Linked DNA regions of Mus musculus: regions 2 and 3 are each reported to be linked to region 1. The links are microRNA targets in miRTarBase. Many come from high-throughput screens and were not tested one by one. Region 1 holds a microRNA gene; each other region holds the end of a gene's coding sequence. Distances are between the middles of the regions.

What was found. The annotated mature microRNA mmu-miR-1843b-5p reads AUGGAGGUCUCUGUCUGACUU and lies in region 1 at 1,378-1,398, shown strand. An mRNA with a match to its seed (bases 2 to 7 or 8) in the 3' UTR can be bound and repressed. Matches are read on the target gene's strand: a 7mer-m8 pairs with bases 2 to 8, a 7mer-A1 pairs with bases 2 to 7 and ends in A, and an 8mer does both.
Region 2: the mRNA of Akap5 is a reported target of mmu-miR-1843b-5p. Seed matches in the 3' UTR shown: 7mer-A1 at 1,643-1,649.
Region 3: the mRNA of Gpr157 is a reported target of mmu-miR-1843b-5p. Seed matches in the 3' UTR shown: 7mer-A1 at 1,730-1,736.

What each region holds. Positions count from the first base shown.
Region 1 is chr12:80,390,051-80,393,050 of GRCm38, reverse strand. Mir1843a (microRNA 1843a) reads left to right here and starts at 1,374; the gene lies at 1,374-1,438. All of the region lies in intron 5 of Dcaf5 (DDB1 and CUL4 associated factor 5), which reads left to right. It also overlaps Scarna3b.
Region 2 is chr12:76,329,690-76,332,689 of GRCm38, forward strand. It overlaps Akap5 (A kinase (PRKA) anchor protein 5), which reads left to right. Exons shown (of 2, transcript NM_001101471.1): 2 at 1-3,000. The coding sequence ends at 365. Among named protein-coding and RNA genes, the nearest start is that of Akap5, 6.3 kb to the left of the region's middle.
Region 3 is chr4:150,102,202-150,105,201 of GRCm38, reverse strand. It overlaps Gpr157 (G protein-coupled receptor 157), which reads right to left. Exons shown (of 4, transcript NM_177366.3): 4 at 1-2,990. The coding sequence ends at 2,793. Among named protein-coding and RNA genes, the nearest start is that of Slc2a5, 16 kb to the left of the region's middle.

The sequences.
Region 1 (3,000 bases):
TGTGCTACATTTACACAATGGAGTACAACTCAGCTATTAAAAACAATGAATTCATGAAATTCTTAGGCAAATGGATAGAACTAGAAAAAAATTACTAAATTTGATTTCTTAAAATTAAAGACCTCTGTTCATCAAAGACGGTATGACATCTGTGAAAAGATAAGCCAAGGACAAGTACTTGTAATTTGTAATGTATATATTGAATAAGAATTTATAGCCAGAGTATATAAAAAAGTATGATCTATGAAAGATAGAATTCCATTTTAAAGTAATTTTAATTTTTTAATCCTTCTATGTGTGTCTGGTGTCCCAAGAGGTCAGCAGAATGTGTAGGACTCCCTAGAAAATGGAGTTACAGATAGTTGTAAGCTGTGGGTACTGGGAATGTAACCCAGGACCTCTGGAAAGGCAACCCCAGGAATTAAAGGTCATCTTTACCTGAATGGCCAGCCTGAAGTTAATGAGAGTTAAAAAAGGAAGGAAGAAAAGTAAGGAAGCTTTTCAACTTCATTACTCATGAGGTAACTGAAAATGATTGGAATTGTTCCAGTGGAAAAGACTGATAGTGTTGACCGGGATGTGAGACTAAGGAAGCCATCCTGCTTTATACTTTCGGCAACTCTAAATAGGTACTGCCGTCAGGGGAAGCGGTCAGTGTCTGCTGAGGCTAAAGGTATGGCCTTTATAACATTTTGAGCCTCACTCTCAGATCTCCCTAAGAGATGCAATTGTGTTTCCACTGGGGATAAGTAAATACAGGAGTATGGCGACTGCTTTACTTAGTGTAGCCAAAAGCTGACACAAGCCTAATGTCCACTAAAGGACAGTGGATAGCAGAGCGGACAGTGGCCATGTAGTAAAACACTGGGCAAACATTAAAAGAACACCTTGATGCTCTCACACATGTAGATGTGCATGAGCCTCATGGCTAGAATTTTGAGTGAAAGAAGACAGCCACAGAGGAACCTGTCTTCTATGATTCCGTTTGTGTGGTGTTTAAGGACAGGCAGATTATAGGTGTTAGAATAGTGGTATCCCAGGGTAAGATATTGACCAAGCTTGAAATCATGTCTTGATCTGGTGTGGTTCATTGGTGTATACTTTTGAAATAACATATTCAACTAGGTACATGTAGAGTTAATACATAGTAGTGTATCATGTTAACTGCTGTGTTTGAATGTGTGGTGCTGAGGATCAACTCCAGGGTATCACACTACATAGACATGCGAAAGAGGTATATCTCTAGCCTATCTAAGGGACAATAAGTTTGGTCAATAAGTTTGACCAAAAGGAATTCAAACTGGAAGCTGCAAAACCAACCATGTAGACAAAGGAGAAAATGCCTTTGTTTGCAGAAGGCAGCGGTCCTACATGAATATGGAGGTCTCTGTCTGACTTAGAATAGCTGGCTGAGTCTGATCGTTCACCTCCATACAACCTTAGACTCTCACTCTACTTACTGATTTCCTTATTAGTTTGTTTAGGATCTCTGCTGATTAAATGTACTATCTTACAAAAAGGAAATAAACTGAAGTTACTACTCTGTTAGGAAAATAAGTGGAAGACTATTACTTCATTGAGTATTTACCTTATTCCCTGTGAGTCCAGTGCTCACAACAGCCTCATTAACTGTGTAGAGAGCTGATGAAGGGACAAAGAGAGATCAGGATTAGGAGGACCCAGGAGCTTAGATGGAACAGTAGAAAAAAAACAGCAAAGAGCAGACCTCCTCATCGAATAGCTCTACTTAGGGGCTAGCTAGTCAGCTCCTCTTCCTTTTCCTTCCCTCTCTTCCCTAGTCCTTCTGTCTTCCCTTCTCTTCTTTGTATTTTGAGACAAATATCACTGTGGAGCCCAAGGTAGCCTCAATATCTGGCCGTCCTCCTGTGCCATCTTCCCAAGTGCTCACTACAAGAGTGGCCCCCACACTTAGCTAGCCGGTCTCTTCCCCTTCTCCTCTTTCCTACCTACTGGCACATTTGTTAAACGCCTGCTTTCTCCCCAGCGCTCTGTTCTATTCTCCATTGCTTTTCTTAATGCCGTCCTCACTCCTACAGTTTTTCTGGGTGAAATCCTGGAGCCCCGCATAGGTTTCCTTGCTCTAATCGTGCCTGGCACCTCAAGTTCCAGCAGCCTCTCCGTCATAGCTGTCACCTCCTTCCCATAGTTGCTGTCCACACTGCCTCTTTACTTGGAATTTTGTATTTAGAGCAGCAGATTCTTAAACAATTTTTGCTGTTGTCTTATAGCTCGTTGGGGTTATCTTTGTTCATATTTATATACCCAGAACATATATTGTGTATGATGCTATAAAAATTTAAATAATTTTTAATCAATAACCTATTTCACTAGATTGAAAAATAAAAGAAGAACTGCTTAAGCAGCCTGTCCTTCTGTGCAGTCTCTCTTCTTCTAGATACAACACAAGGATTTGTCCTCTTTTCTTTTGATTTATTAAAACTTTTGTTGTATACGTATGCGTATTCGTTTGCATCTGCATCATGTGTGTGCCTAGTGCCTGTAGAGACCAGAAGAGGTCATTGGATCTCCTGGAACTAGATTTACTGGTGTTATGAGCCATCATGTGGATGTTGGAAATCAAATTTAGGTCCTCCATAAAAGCAGCCTGTGGCTCTTAAGTTCTGACCCATCTCTCCATCCCCCTTTTTCTGATTTTTGTTACAGGGCCTTGTTTTGTAACACAGACTGGCCTGGAACTCATGGTGCCCCAGCCTCCCAAGTACTAGAACTACAGTTGTCCTAGTGTACACCGCTCTCCTTGTTGTTCATCTGCTCAATTCCTAGCTACCCGAGGAAACTCCCTCACTAGACCTCCCTGGCAGATCTTTAAAAGCTTGCCCCTTGTGTTCTTAGCACCTACCATGGCGTTGCCACAAAATATGTATCTAGTGAGTCAAATTTCCTCTTACTCTGAGGGGATTTTACTAAGTGACTCTGTTTTGTCCTCAGGGAAACCAGTTGCTGTCCTTTCCCAGGTGC
Region 2 (3,000 bases), 4.1 Mb from region 1:
AGGAAGCTATATCGAGCCATGCACCAGATCTGAAAGAAAATGGAATTGATACAGAGAAACCGAGATCAGAAGAAAGCAAACGAATGGAGCCAATTGCTATTATCATTACTGACACTGAAATCAGTGAATTTGATGTTAAGAAGTCTAAAAATGTTCCTAAGCAATTCCTAATTTCAATGGAAAACGAGCAAGTGGGGGTTTTTGCTAATGATAGTGATTTCGAGGGGAGAACTTCAGAACAGTATGAAACACTCTTAATAGAAACAGCATCTTCTCTCGTCAAGAATGCTATCGAGTTGTCTGTAGAACAGCTGGTTAATGAAATGGTTTCCGAGGATAATCAAATAAATACGCTGTTCCAGTGACTTCGTTTCCAGGTCACGAAAAGAAAGGGGGGAAAAAAACCCTTGAAAGATGAATTCTTTTATCCCTTTGTGGCACTTCTTTCTCAGTAATAAATTAGAGGCTTATCATCTGTGGAATCTAAGGGTACAGTTCCAGCCCAGAAGTGCTAAAGGATCAATGAAGGTTGTAAAACTCTGTCATTGAAACACAGTTCTGGACTGGAGGGAGTCAGCACAGATCACAGTGCGAAGTGACTTATGGGGAGGTGTGGAAGTGGCAGGCAATAGCCCAGTGCTTTGAGGAGGGAAGACTACTGAGCACTGGGTATGCTATATGGTTCTTTAATGTCACTAAGTCTGGGTTTCTTTCTGATGGTTCGACCCTGGGTTATAGGTGAACGCTCCATTCGCTTTCCTTTTACAGGGTCTTCCTGCTGTCTCTAGTGGTGAATCAGGTGAGTGGGCTTTTCTAGTCTTGAGCAAGTTCTGTACTAAAGGTGTTCATGGGTTCCTTCGGTCAGGCCAATAGTTAACACATGTGTAGGCATGGACACAGGAAGTGTGTTCTCTCCCCAACATCCCTCTGCCCAGAAGACCTGTATATACCCATCTGTGAGTGAACCTTTCTCCTGAGAAATCAAATGGGGAAGAGTATATTTTTTATCCAGGAGGCAAACTTCCCAGGTAGCAAAGGATTCTAATAGCAGAGCTACTTCTTTGGGTTGTTTTTTTGTTTGTTTGTTTTTTCCAGATAGTATTTCTCTGTGTAACCCTGGCTGTCCTGGAACTCGCTCTATAGACCAGGCTGGCCTCGAACTCACAGAATTCCGACTGCCTCTGCTTCCCAAGTGCTGGTCGAGATTAAAGGTATGGGTCATCATCGCCTGGCTAAAGGGCCAGGAAACCGTAATATTCTTGTGAAAATAGTTCTTGGCCAAACATAAACTATGTAATGAACTGAATAAAAGGTCAAAATTCACACTAAAGCCTAGATTTTCAACACCAGTATTTTTCATTTTGTCTAGCCATAACACTGTAACATACTACCCAACCCCACACGTTAGGGTCCATATTGTACAGCACCCCCATCCCACTATCTAAACTAAGTGATACTGTTTCTACTTGTTACAAAAGATGTGGTACACATGGTACAATGTCTGTTGAGCATCTTCTTGAGGCATGAGCACCACTAGTTGGTTTGGTTGTTATTTTTGTTTTTTGTGTTGTTGTTGTTTTCAAGACAAGGTTTCTCTGTGTAACCTTGGCTGTCCTGAAACTCACTCTGTAGACCAGGCTGGCCTCCAACTTAGAGATCCGCCTGCCTCTGCTTCCTGAGTGCTGGGACTAAAGTCGTGCGCCACCACTGTCCAGCGAGCACTGCTTATTTTCATCCACTTTGCACTTACACTGTGTTTATGGGCTGCATATGTATACACTGCTTTTTCCTATCTTTTATTTTGTAAATACATATTGTGATCTTGTGCAAAAGTAACTAATGTGGCTTTGAAAATTAACCAAATGGTGGATGTTTAGCAAGATTCTTGGCTGGAATGTGAAAATATTTTCTTCAGGCTTGCCTATCTTCATGTTTGTAATGGGTGATGGGGTATCATTCAATTTAGATAAAAACACAACACCCCTTCAATAAATTTATTTTAATGGTTTTCCTCTTAGACATAAAACTAAAAATCACTCCTAAATCATCTTTGAAAGAATATTTTAACCCACTGTATATGGTGCTAATAGACTTGTATAGATAGCTACCAGCAAATATGTTTAAAATGAACTTTTAAAAGCCTGGTTAAAGTTGGTACACTTTGCAGTACTTTAAACAATTCTGTATCTATTTACTATAAGAATGGCTCCAAGGAGAGCCACATTACACTCACATTAAGGTTTCTAATCTCTTATGAATGAGTAAAATCTATAAGATACAAGCTCTTAGTTATTGAAGATATTCTGGGTTTGGAGATTTTGAAAAGCAGGCACAAAGTAAATTTGTAATTTTGGGGGTAAGATAGTAGCCCTGGGTTTCAGGGTGTGTGTGTGTGTGTGTGTGTGTGTGTGTGTGTGTGTGTGTATGTTCCCTACACTACTATTTGATAATTATACCTTTGGTTAGAAGGTATTGTTATAATTGATTGTTTTTATAAGAAAATATATTCTCCTTCATTCTTAAGTATTTTCTCTGGCTTTTTAAAGCATAATTCCAACCTGTAAGCAGAATGCAGAAATTCATTAGTGGGTCACAACCCTAAGTATCTGCTATGTGGCCAAATGATAGTGAATCTTAGGGTGGTCCAAACTATTCTGTTGTTATAAAAATAAGAGATGGCTTGGAAGTCTGCCATCATTTTTTTTTTTTTTTTTTTTGGTAATGGGATGTATTTCAAGCAGTTTGACTTTCTATGCAAACTATATAGAAAGATTCTGACTCAATTTACACCCTTGTGGCCTTAAACGGACCCATTTAGATGCATCAACTTAGGGTAGTCACATTAATTTTCATTGAAATTTGCCTTTAATGAACATTAGCTAAGATCAAATTTCTTCTTGAAGTCGGAAATTTCTAAGGCTGGGGGCGTCTATCAGATCCTTGATAATTTTTCAGTGTCTTCTCTTCACCCCCTGAAGTCAAGCGTTATTCACACAGCAC
Region 3 (3,000 bases), not on the chromosome of region 1:
CCTGAGAACCCTGTTTCGAAACTTAAAAAACAAAACAAAAAAAAAAAATGAAGAGAGATAAATGCTAGAGCATAATATCTCACGCACACACACATTCTCTCCCTCTCTCTCTCCCTCTCTCCCTCTCTCCCTCTCTCTCTCTCTGCCTCAGAAAGTCAAAGGCAGGAAGCAGCTGGCAACGGATTTGCAGAACAAGATTCACAAAGTGTACCAGGCGGTGGTGACACACGTCTTTAATCCCAGCACTCAGGAGGCAGAGGCAGGCGGATTTCTGAGTTCGAGGCCAGCCTGGTCTACAGAGTGAGTTCCAGGACAGCCAGGGCTATACAGAGAAACCCTGTCTCGGAAAAAAAAAATTCATAAAGTGCTTAAGAAGGGTGTGGGGGCTGTAGCACCCATTAAGGCTGAGGTCACATTTGGGTGACAGAGGAACACGGACAGACAGATATTAATGACACTTCCTAGTAGAGATAGGAACCCACGAGGCTGAGCAAAGCAAAGGGGAGCTGGTCCTCACCGGTGCTAAGGCCCCTCCTGGCCCCAAGGATTCTTCTATTCCTCTTCAGCTCTGAACCCTGGCTGCCTAGAAGACCCACTTGGCCACCGGCTGAGCTAAGGTTGATGTCTGTGAGCACGTAGGGCTAGAGGTCAGGCACCGGGCCTCGGGTCACCACCAGCCACCTTCGGTGACAGGGCAGCATGGGAAACAGATGGAAAGAGCCAAGTGTAGACTTTGTAGGGGGTTTTACGGACAGCAATCCTGGCCAGTGGCATCAGAGAAAACTTGGGTAAGCCCCAGGCTCCAGGAGCAGGGCTTTCGGATGCCCCCTGCCTGCCTTTCCTTGAACAAAGCCCCAAACAGCCAGGGTTTCACACTGCTCTGTCCAGCTGGGTTTATCCAACATCATTTCCTCCGTAGTATTTGGTGGTTTATTTTCTCCCCTCCAGGAGACAAATTCCTAGAATTTCTGTTCCATTTTAGAAGCCAGGAGATCCATTACCGCTGCGCTACACGCTGACAGTGCACACATTGGCTGTAATATCTTCACAGGATCTCAGGACACCCTACACAGACTGGTTTTGTAAGCAGACAGAGTACCAAGCCAAGGAGCTTTCTTAGACTCCCAAAAGGGAACCCACCTCTTGTAGAGTTTCCTAAAGAAATGCTTTAGGAAGCCAGAAGAGGAGCATACAGACACAGCCCTCTGCGCGACTATTCCTTTCCTGATAGAGATGGGCGCTGATGCCCCGTGTGACTCTGCTTCCATCTTGAGCCAGGCTCTGAGCATCCTCTCGGTTTTGTGAGGGTATTGACAGAATCCAAGGGCGCTACCTCACCTTGACTGCAAGGTGGCGGGCACACTTCCCACACCGAGAGCCTGCACGTCGGCACACACTGCTTTCTGAAATGAGGGATGTGTGGGTGGAAGAGCCACTGAGCAGATCTCAGTTAAGCCCCGCTCTGGCCAGGCTTGCTAGCCAAAGGCGACAATTCTAGCTTCCTGGGAAGTTGAGGTAGGAAAATCTTAAGTTCAAGACCAGCCTGGTCGACTGAGAGTTGAAGGCCAGTCTAGGCAACTTAGTAAGATTATGTCTCAAAAAAAAGGGAGTGGGGAGGGGCATGGGATTGAACTCAGTGGCGGAGCACCTGCCTAACAGGCACAACACAACACAACATTTTTTTAAAAATGTAACTATCAGGAGGCAGAGGCAGGTGGATCTCTGTGAGTTGGAGGCCAGCCTGATCTACATAACAAGTTCCAGGCCAGCATGTCCACATGAGACCCTGTCTCAAAAAAACAAAATAAAATGTAATCATCTCAGAATCCTATTTCTATATCCCCCAGATAACTACAAAACACAAAGGCCTTTTAAGTATTTGGGGTGCTAGGACCAACCTGGAAACTACACGGAGCTACAGGCCAGCCCGAGGCTGACTCTTCAAACATTCACCTTCAGGGTGGAATCAGATCCATTCACTGGTCACCTTTCCTAAGCAAAGTGCAGAGCCAGACCCCCTCCCCCTGTATGAGTCACCGTGAGGAGAGGGCTCTGTGAGAACAGTAGGTGAACTGGTAATTGTCCATAGGGGCTGGAGCTGAGCTGCCTTCTGTCCTGGTACCTGGAGGGAACGAGGATGTTAAGTGATTGACTAATGGACAGGACTCTGGACTCTGGCCTGTGCTGAAATTCAGATGTAATAAACACTGAGGGGCGATGACCCACGCAGAGATTCCGTGAGATGCCCATGAGTGTGTGCCCGGGTGGTTTTCATCAATGATGGCAGTCTCCTGTGACTTCCGTGGACTTGGGACCTAGTTTAAGGATATTACCCTCAGCTGACCAGCACTGCTAATTACCCCCAGGGTCTCTAGGGATTCTCAACGCCCTGGCAAGCCCGGACTCCATACTGCGATGTCTGGGATCCAAGATGGTGTTCATTATTATTCAGTCAAGCCTGGGATGGGTCCACAGGTACGGATCCCTCCAACTGTAAACAACGTTGGTGGCCGGGGACACTGAGAACCAATGCCCTGGCGGTATCCCGCATAGCTGAGTCTCACGGTCTTTGTGCTTACACAAACAAACCCCACTGAACCAGGACATGAGTGTGCAAGGAACACACTGCCTGCCTGCAAGTCTGGGAGGTAGAAGAGTCCATACTGATGGCTGTCCCTCCACTGGGCTCCGATCTTCACTTTAGGCCAGGCTGACAGCATGCTTGGTCTCCTAATCCTGAAGCAGGAACCAGGAAGGCAGCGCCAGTACGGACAGGGAGGAAAGCCAACCGCTCAAGTGCTGGGCACTTCTGGGGTCCGTCTGGATTCCTGAGATTCTCCTATCTTGGGGGGCGTAGGAGCCCCCGGAGGGCTCTGGGTGGAGGGCCGAGGACAGCAGCAGCAAAGAGAAAAGAGCCTTGTGCGGACTGCCCGGGTACAGAGGACGAACATGATGCAGTTGGCCCCTCCCTGGAAGGTGTTTCCAATGCCCTGTAGGGGA